2 linked regions of the Canis lupus familiaris genome follow. The protein of the gene in region 1 interacts with the protein of each later gene in a biochemical or structural test. Links are inferred from orthologs where the notes say so. Each region holds a gene or a part of one and is shown on either strand. Other genes may lie near its edges. The genes, in order: RC3H2 and KLHL6.

The links.
Region 2: the proteins of RC3H2 (region 1) and KLHL6 form a complex in vitro, tested with the Homo sapiens proteins (2 studies listed by BioGRID, with this or other methods). The link is inferred for Canis lupus familiaris from reciprocal best matches to the Homo sapiens genes RC3H2 and KLHL6.

What each region holds. Positions count from the first base shown.
Region 1 is NC_049230.1:60,005,377-60,009,194, forward strand, and holds part of RC3H2 (roquin-2), read left to right. Parts: intron 1-355; coding exon 356-570; intron 571-1,566; coding exon 1,567-2,000; intron 2,001-2,602; coding exon 2,603-2,773; intron 2,774-3,818. UniProt on the Homo sapiens protein: Post-transcriptional repressor of mRNAs containing a conserved stem loop motif, called constitutive decay element (CDE), which is often located in the 3'-UTR, as in HMGXB3, ICOS, IER3, NFKBID, NFKBIZ, PPP1R10, TNF and in many more mRNAs.
Region 2 is NC_049255.1:16,673,228-16,677,729, reverse strand, and holds the start of KLHL6 (kelch-like protein 6), read left to right. Parts: upstream 1-1,525; 5' UTR 1,526-1,652; coding exon 1,653-1,939; intron 1,940-4,502. UniProt on the Homo sapiens protein: Involved in B-lymphocyte antigen receptor signaling and germinal center formation.

The sequences.
Region 1 (3,818 bases):
TGTTGAGAACTTCTTGAACAATAATCTTTTTAAAAATTTTCTCTAGGAAAAAAAAATTTTTCTCTAGGAAAAAAATCTTTGTTTAAAGAATGAGTAAAAGGGGATTGGAGGGTTACATTGGTACCTGGGATTTGTTTGCATTTCTTTTTGCCTTCACTAGAATATGAGATCTGTTACTATGATTCTGTGACTTAGCAGTGGAAAGTTGGCAGTGAAATTCATTGCCTTATTTGTCACTATGGAAGTTTCTCCTATTAGTGGTTTCACTGTATAATTTTATGAAAAATTCCTACTGAGGAAGAAAACAGTTACAGACAGTGATTTATTCTTTGTTCTTGATAAATTATCTCTCCAGTAAAATTGGCTCTCCACCCAAGACTCCTGTAAGTAATGTAGTGGCTACCTCAGCTGGGCCTTCTAATGTTGGAACAGAGCTGAATTCTGTGCCTCCAAAATCCAGCCCATTTATAACTAGAGTACCAGTATATCCTCAGCATTCTGAAAATATTCAGTATTTTCAAGATCCAAGGACTCAGATACCCTTTGAAGTTCCACAGTACCCACAGACAGGTAAGTAATTTTAGACAATTCTAAGAAAAAAAAGAAACTGTAATATAACATTTCTTATCCTTAGATAAGTGAATCCCTTATCTAGAGTATCTACATTAAGAAATTTTTTTAAAAGATTTTATTTCTTTATTTTGAGAGAGAGAGAAATGAGAGAGAGAATGGGAGAAGCAGACTCAGCACTGAGCAGGGAACCCAGAGTGGGGCTCCATCCTAGGACTTTCGGATTATGACCTGAGCCGAAGAAGACACTTAACTAACCGAGCCACCCAGGTGCCCCGCTACATTAAATTAATTGGGGGCACCTGGGTGGCTCAGTCGGTTAAGTGTCCAGCTTTCGATCTCAGCTCAGGTCTGGATCTCAGGGTCATGAGTTCAAGTCCTGCATTGGGCTCCATGCTGGATATGGAGCCTACTAAAAAAAATAGAAAGAAAAAAGAAGAAAAAAAAATTAATCCTTTGGACTAAGCTTTCTTTCTGCCCTAAAAATCGATTCTACATGCCAGTAGTTTTAAGATTCTCCTTCTTACGCATGAAATATGGGGTCCATGGATGAACTTCAGGGAATTTTGTCTATCCCTTGAAATAATTTGCAGAATATTTGGTTTATATATGCTTCTGTATAATTTTGGCAAGACAATGTACAACTAATATAGATTCTGAAAGGTCTTTAACCTCTGCTCCTCAAAAGTTATGAGTTGGTAATGTAGCTAATTACTTAATCCAAAACCTGTGGCAATAGATGCCCTAGAAGGAAATTTGCCAGCCATCTGTTAATAGTTCTGTCTTGTGTTTTTGAGAAACAGTTTAACAAAATAGTGAACTTTAATGATTTTCATAGAGTAGGATTCTGAAAGTAATTTCTTTCTAAAGCAAGAGTGATTAAAGTTCAAAGCTTACTTTCTTTTCCCACATTAAAGGCTACTTTAGACTTAAACTTTTATAAGATGTTGGATTTTGCTGAGATTACATTAAATATTCCTCTTTCTAATTTTCAAGGATACTACCCACCACCTCCAACGGTACCAGCTGGTGTGGCTCCCTGTGTTCCTCGCTTTGTGAGGTCCAATAATGTTCCAGAGTCCTCCCTCCCACCTGCTTCTATGCCATATGCTGATCATTACAGTACATTTTCCCCTCGAGATCGAATGAATTCTTCTCCTTACCAACCTCCTCCTCCGCAGCCGTATGGACCAGTTCCTCCAGTACCTTCTGGAATGTATGCTCCTGTGTACGACAGCAGGCGCATCTGGCGCCCACCTATGTACCAACGAGATGACATTATTAGAAGCAATTCTTTACCTCCAATGGATGTGATGCACTCGTCTGTTTATCAGACGTCTTTGCGGGAAAGATATAACTCATTAGATGGGTATTATTCAGTGGCTTGTCAGCCACCAAGTGAGCCAAGGACAAGTGTGCCTTTACCAAGGGTAAGTAATGGTGGTGGAAATAGGAGAGTGCTACGGTAGTATAGTGGGTAAGAGCCTGCCGTCAAACTTGTCATACCACCCAGGTATAGGTTTCTGGCTCCTCCACTTATGAATTGTGTGACTTACAGAAGTTACTTGACTTCTCTGTGTCAGGTTTTTCATGTTTAGTGGCAGTAATAGTAGTACCTACCTCATAAGGCTGTTGTGAGGATTAAATTAGAAAAACAAAGCCTTTAGAACTGGACCTGATACATATTAATGCTCAATAAATGTTAATGCTTGGATAGGAAACTGATGGGAAAGTAAAAAGAAATCTCCAAAATACAAAGACAGGGCCTATTTTCAGTATTCCATGTATATAGAAATGACTTCCCTAAACCAGAAAACTGAGTGCTCAGATACTACTTTTAACATCGCTGGATGAAATATTAACCCTTCCATTTAAATGCGTGGAGAACAGGCTAAGGTGACTTCTTTACTGTTTTTTTTTTTTTTTTTTTGTCCCCACAATAATGAACTGTTTACATTATTTCCACAGAGCATAGTTAAATTTATTTACTGCTCCCTAGATGATTAAGATTGTTTCTTTTATCCCCCCTTAGGAACCTTGTGGTCATTTGAAGACCAGTTGCGAGGAGCAGATAAGAAGAAAGCCAGAGCAGTGGGCACAGTACCACACTCAGAAAACACCTCTTGTCTCTTCAACTCTTCCTGTGGCAACACAGTCGCCAACACCACCTTCTCCTCTATTCAGTGTAGACTTTCGCACTGATGTAAGAAAGGTCTTAATCACTTGATGTTGCAAGGACAGGTCAGACACCTGACCTCAGAATACTCCTTCAAACCAGGCTTAGCTATGTGGGCTGTTTTGCAGTGATTTGGTATACAGTCGAGTCAGTCTGCTTTGTTCTTTGAACACTGAGCATGTAATGAGCACTACAGTTAGGCATTGTAAGACTCTGAAGACCATGAAGTCAGTCTTTTTCCCACCAAGAATTGAAAATCTTTCCAGCAGTGTAGTTCTCATTGTTTTTTTGATTTTAATTAATCAGATTTATATCTACCATTTATTGAGCACCTACTTGTGCCAGGCACTGTACTAAGTATTTACATAATGTTATTTTATTTAATTCTCACAAAAATCTTAGGGGGCAGGTATTAGGTCTGTATTTTTTTTAGGAATCCTACTCAGAGAAATTAAGTAATTTGCCCAAGAAGTAAATTCAGCCTGTAAGTAGCTGAGATTTGAATCTTGGTCTAGCAGAGGCATCTCTTCCCTACTTTTTACAAGTGGTGCAGAAATGCCTACTGTTTTATTTGTGCAGTTTTACATCACTGTTAATGGTTGTTCTTGTTACAAAACAAGTTTTTGTACCAGGATCATTTCAGGGTGCCCTTTTTCAGTATTTTTATATGTTGAACAAAACATTATTATTTTTTAAATACCTCTAGCTTGGTTTATTTTCTATTCCTACAGGCTCTAATAGGAAAAAAAAAAAAACTTTTTAAAATCTTGTAATGAAAAATTTAAAACACATACAAAAGTAGACCCGGTAGTATAATAAACCCCCTGTCCCCTCATCCCCAATTATCTACTTAGTCTTGTTTCATTTGTACCCTCTCTTCCCTCTGGATTAATTTGAAGTAATCCTAGACATCATATTTTTTCATCCATAAATATTTCAATAAACCATTGAATTTTTTAACTAAATCCAAATTTCTCATCAAACTTAGACTTCTTTAGGGCTCCTGGGTGGCTTGGTTGGTTAAACGGTGGCTTTTGGCTCAGGTCATGATGTCAGGGTCCTGGGGTCAAGC
Region 2 (4,502 bases), on another chromosome or scaffold:
CTTGGGCCGAGTGGTCAAGTGACTTAGGAGAAGTCTGATAGAGATGAAGGAAGAGACCTGTCCTGCTTTTGGATTGTTTGGTATTGTGGCAGCTATTATGTCATCATGAGGTGGCATCTCCATCACATTGAGAATATGACAGAATGGGAAAATGGAAAAATTCTGTGTCCTTGATGACATTACTGAGTTTCTGGATTAACCTGGGACTCCATATCTCTGGTTTCTTATAATGTGAGACTTCTATTGTTTAAACCACTTTTGATGGGCTTTTCTGTTATTGAGACCAAACTGTCTTGATTGACAGAGCTCTGGATATAGCACAAGTCTGGTAGAGGGGAGTTAACAAAGATGCTGACATTAGGAATAAGTATCCATGGAAGAGAAGAAGAGCTGAGGCAGAACCAGGACCCCTGAAGAGGGCTCAGTTACTGACCAGGGCAGAGAAAGGATTGGGACTCCTTTTTGATCAGAGCAGCCAGTGTTTCCCACTGCTAGATGGTTCATGAGAGCAGGAACCAGACCTCGAAGGCCCCTTTGGGGAGATGCTGCGGACTGGAGCAGCCACGGCAGAAAAGGCCTGTGGTTCTCTGTGGGAGATCTAGGAGTCAGGACCAACATGATATTACAGCTCTCTTAGCCTGATGATGGTGGAAGAAACGGGCTTTGGGTTCTCCCACTCACTTGAGCAGAGCTTCAGTTTCCTTCTCTGTAAAATGAGGAAAATCATATTTGCCCCCTTGGGTTCTTACAAGGATTAAAATACATTAAAATAAATTAACTTCTTTAATCTGTAATATAGTGGGAGTTTATGAAAAGGTAGTTATTATTCTTTAACAGAGACCTGCAGAGGTACTGAAGACACTTTGTGGTGTACCATCAGATGCATGACCAATAGATGCTGAGTGAGATCAGACCAGTTGGAGACTCGCTAGGGTAATCTGTTGTTGACCTACCCTGATTAGTCTACTAAGAGAGAAGACCCTGGGGATGGAGTTTCTGGAGACCATTTTTTCTCTGTCCCCAGAGACATATCTGAAACAATAGACTTTCTTGGGGCGGGGGGAGAACATTAATATTTGCTATGACATTGTTTTCCCCTGAGCAGGGAGGAAGACAAGGGCAGAATATGTGCGGTGCTGATATAAATGAGAATGCCAGCAATAAGTGGGTTTTCCAGAGTTCCCAAGGGACTGGGTGGGGGCTTATCGTGGGGTCTCAGACTCCTGACAAGAGGGAGGGGGAAGATTGCATAATGTTCCCTGCCCATCCTATCATTGAGGACTTGGGTTATAAAAATGCCAGAGGTACAAATGTAATAACCAGAATCAGAGGCTTCCTGCTCACGGATATGAGGGGGAGATGGACCAAAATAACCCCACAGCACTAATAGCAGACTCTGAGAAGCTACCCCTTCTCTCGTGGAGCCCCTTTCTACACAACCCTTCTAAGTAATTTCTAACCTTTTGTTGACTCACAGAAAGAAGAAGAATAGAAGTTACTGGCGTTTGTAGTAACAGGATGAGAAAGTACAAGACTTCCTGTTGTGTGTGTGTGACAGCTGGTGATAAGTGGAGGGCTCTGCACAGGAAATCCGCCCAGCTTCTGCAATGTGACCTGCCTGAAGCTTGGGCGCTCCTTCAGTCTGGATGTAGATGGCAGGACAAAGGGGCTCCTGGACCATGGGCGACGTGGTAGAGAAGAGTTTGGAAGAGCCCTTGGCACCTTCTACAAATGAGCCCTCCCAGAAAAGGGGAGACCTGGTAGAAATCTTAAATGGGGATAAGGTAAAATTCGATGACACGGGACTCTCCTTAATTCTGCAGAATGGCCTGGACACCCTCCGTGTGGAAAATGCTCTGACAGATGTCATCTTGTGTGTGGACATTCAGGAATTCTCCTGCCACCGCGTGGTGCTTGCTGCAGCCAGCAACTATTTCAGGTCAGCGCGCCTAGGATTACAGTCAAATTGGGTGCAGGTTTAAAGAAAATGGGTATTGATGTGAGAGCCTGATCTAACTAGGTAGCTGTTGTTGTATGTACATTTTGGATATCTATTTACATTTGTGTGTCTATTCAAGATAAAAGGAAGGAAGCTATTAAACCATAGATTTTAGGGTTTAAGGCATATTAAAAGAGAGATTGGTATAATTTAAAAGCAATATTTATATGTTATGGGGAATCTTCTGGATATGTGTCTTTGTTCCAAAGGATGGAAAATTATTGAAGTCATGGGGATTTCTTCCCCCTTGGTCTGACTAGTGTGTTGGAAACATGATGTTGTCTTTGTTCACCAGTAGATGTAGAGAAAAGGTTGTGGCCCCTCTCTGGGAGTTATGAGTGACTTGCTGAAACTTAGAGGGTGGATTGGAAAAGAAAGCAGTAACAAAGGTGCTTTAGCAGTGAGGGGCTCCCAGTTATAACACACTCTGAAACCTGGGTTCCATCCTGTCCTGCCCTTCCTGACATTGGGATTTGAGGCAAGTCACTGCATGCTCTGAGTTTTGTCATCTGTAAGCTGGGGACAATGATGATTACTTTTCTGGGTTGTGATCATTAAATATGAGAAGGAAAAGGCTCTTACACAGTGCCTACAGTATAGTAGATGCTCACTATGTCTGCTGAAAGTCTTCACCTCATTCTGTTTGGTTCAGCTTAGAACCATTTATTGAGTGTTTACCACAAGCAAATGCCTGGGATAGGAATGTGGAAGAATCAGGAATGAAGTGAACAGGGCTGGATTCAGAGTTCTCCAGATCAGTGTAGACATAGTGGGAACCAGTCCCCAAGGGAAATGAGGATGAAGAAGGTATTTGGAAAACTTGAAAAAGAAACACCTTTATAATTCTTTTTGTTTTTTTATCATTCTTTTTAATAAGATTTTTCTTAACTCTTGGTTCTGACTGAGGAAATTAAAAAGTATTTACAGATGTAAATATCATGGAAAGTGTTTTATTTTTTCATTTTTCTAAGATGCTTAGAGGGAAATTTTTCCTTGGAATTCAGAGAGCAGGGTCAATGAATTGTTGTGGAATGATTAGATCCCATATGTATACAAGACAAGGGGACACCTGGGTTTGCAGAAGTAGTGCCTGCTATGTGCCAGACAGACATAGTTATCTGATTTTATTTTTGCAGTAGTGCGGTAAAGGTGGCTGATGTTCCCTTTTACGAATGAGGAAATGGAAACCCAACTTCACATATGTAATCATTGCTAGAGCAGGGATTGGGCATGTTCTAGAAATCCTTGTTTTTACTAAAATACAAATTGCCACTATATTTGAGGCTTCATTCCATAGGAACTATATAAACGGTAATGTGTAGGCACAGTCATAAAGACAAGTTGACACAGATAAACACATTACTTGCCCACCAGTTTTGAGCATATCTTTATATCGATCACAATCACTTTCAGAAGTACATGAAAGTCAGCTTCTTGGATCAATGTCCTGAGTACCCATTTTTAGGTTTATTCATTCTGTTTTTAATCACTGGAAAATGGTTGTCACACAAAGTTATACCCTATTAGCAATTTTGTTAGTGGTTTGTCCTGCTTATGGAACAGGACTACTGACTGTGTGCTCTCAAGTAGATCACCGGTTCCTCTGGTCCTTGGGTTTCTCATCCTAACTGGAAGGTGTTTGGGCCCAGGTCCTTCCAACCATGCTGATGTGGGATACTTAGGGTAAGTGTCTACTGGTCCTCAGAGGAGTTGGTAACAATGAGATGCTGGAGGCTGCATACATGGTATGTACGCCTGTGTAAGAAGCGTCTCTTCCAAAACTGCCTGGTTATGGAGGGAAATTCCTTTTATTCTTTTCTTCAGAGCAGTGACTTTTGATTCTTATCTTGGTATTTCTAAGATGACTTTCCTCCTATAATAAACACAGTCCTGGAGACAGGATTCTTTTTTCTAGTACTGCTCTGAAGAATAATTTCTGTCATTGAACACTTACTGTGAGCAAAGTTTTGTGCCATCTGTGTCACATGCACTATCCCACAGCAACCCTGTGAGTGGGGTAGTTTTATCCCCACTTACAGATGAGGAACCAAAGCCCAGAGTATCTCATAAAGTGACCAAGTGGGATTTTGACCTAGGACTCACATGAAATCAGACATTGCCTCACAGCCTGTCTTGCTTTTGTTTCTAAGGTTTTGAAAGGGGTTGGGAGCCAAGTTCCTTTTATGCTTGCACTTCGGAAGGGCAGAGAGTCTGCTGTGTCTGAGAGGCTTCCGACACAGCCCTCTGTGCTTGGGAGGGCCTGTTAAATTATGTAAGGTTTTTTTTCTTTATTCATTGAAAACATAAATATTTTCCATGGAATGATTGAACCATAGTGTATTTAACCAGTCCTCTGTTGACCGACATTTGGATTGTTTCTTATCTTTTACTATACACCGATGTCATAATGAATAACCTTCTACATGTCATTTTATATGCATGCAGGAGTACCTGGGGGTGCATTTCTTGAAGAAGGTTTGCTGAGTCAAGGAGAAATGTACCT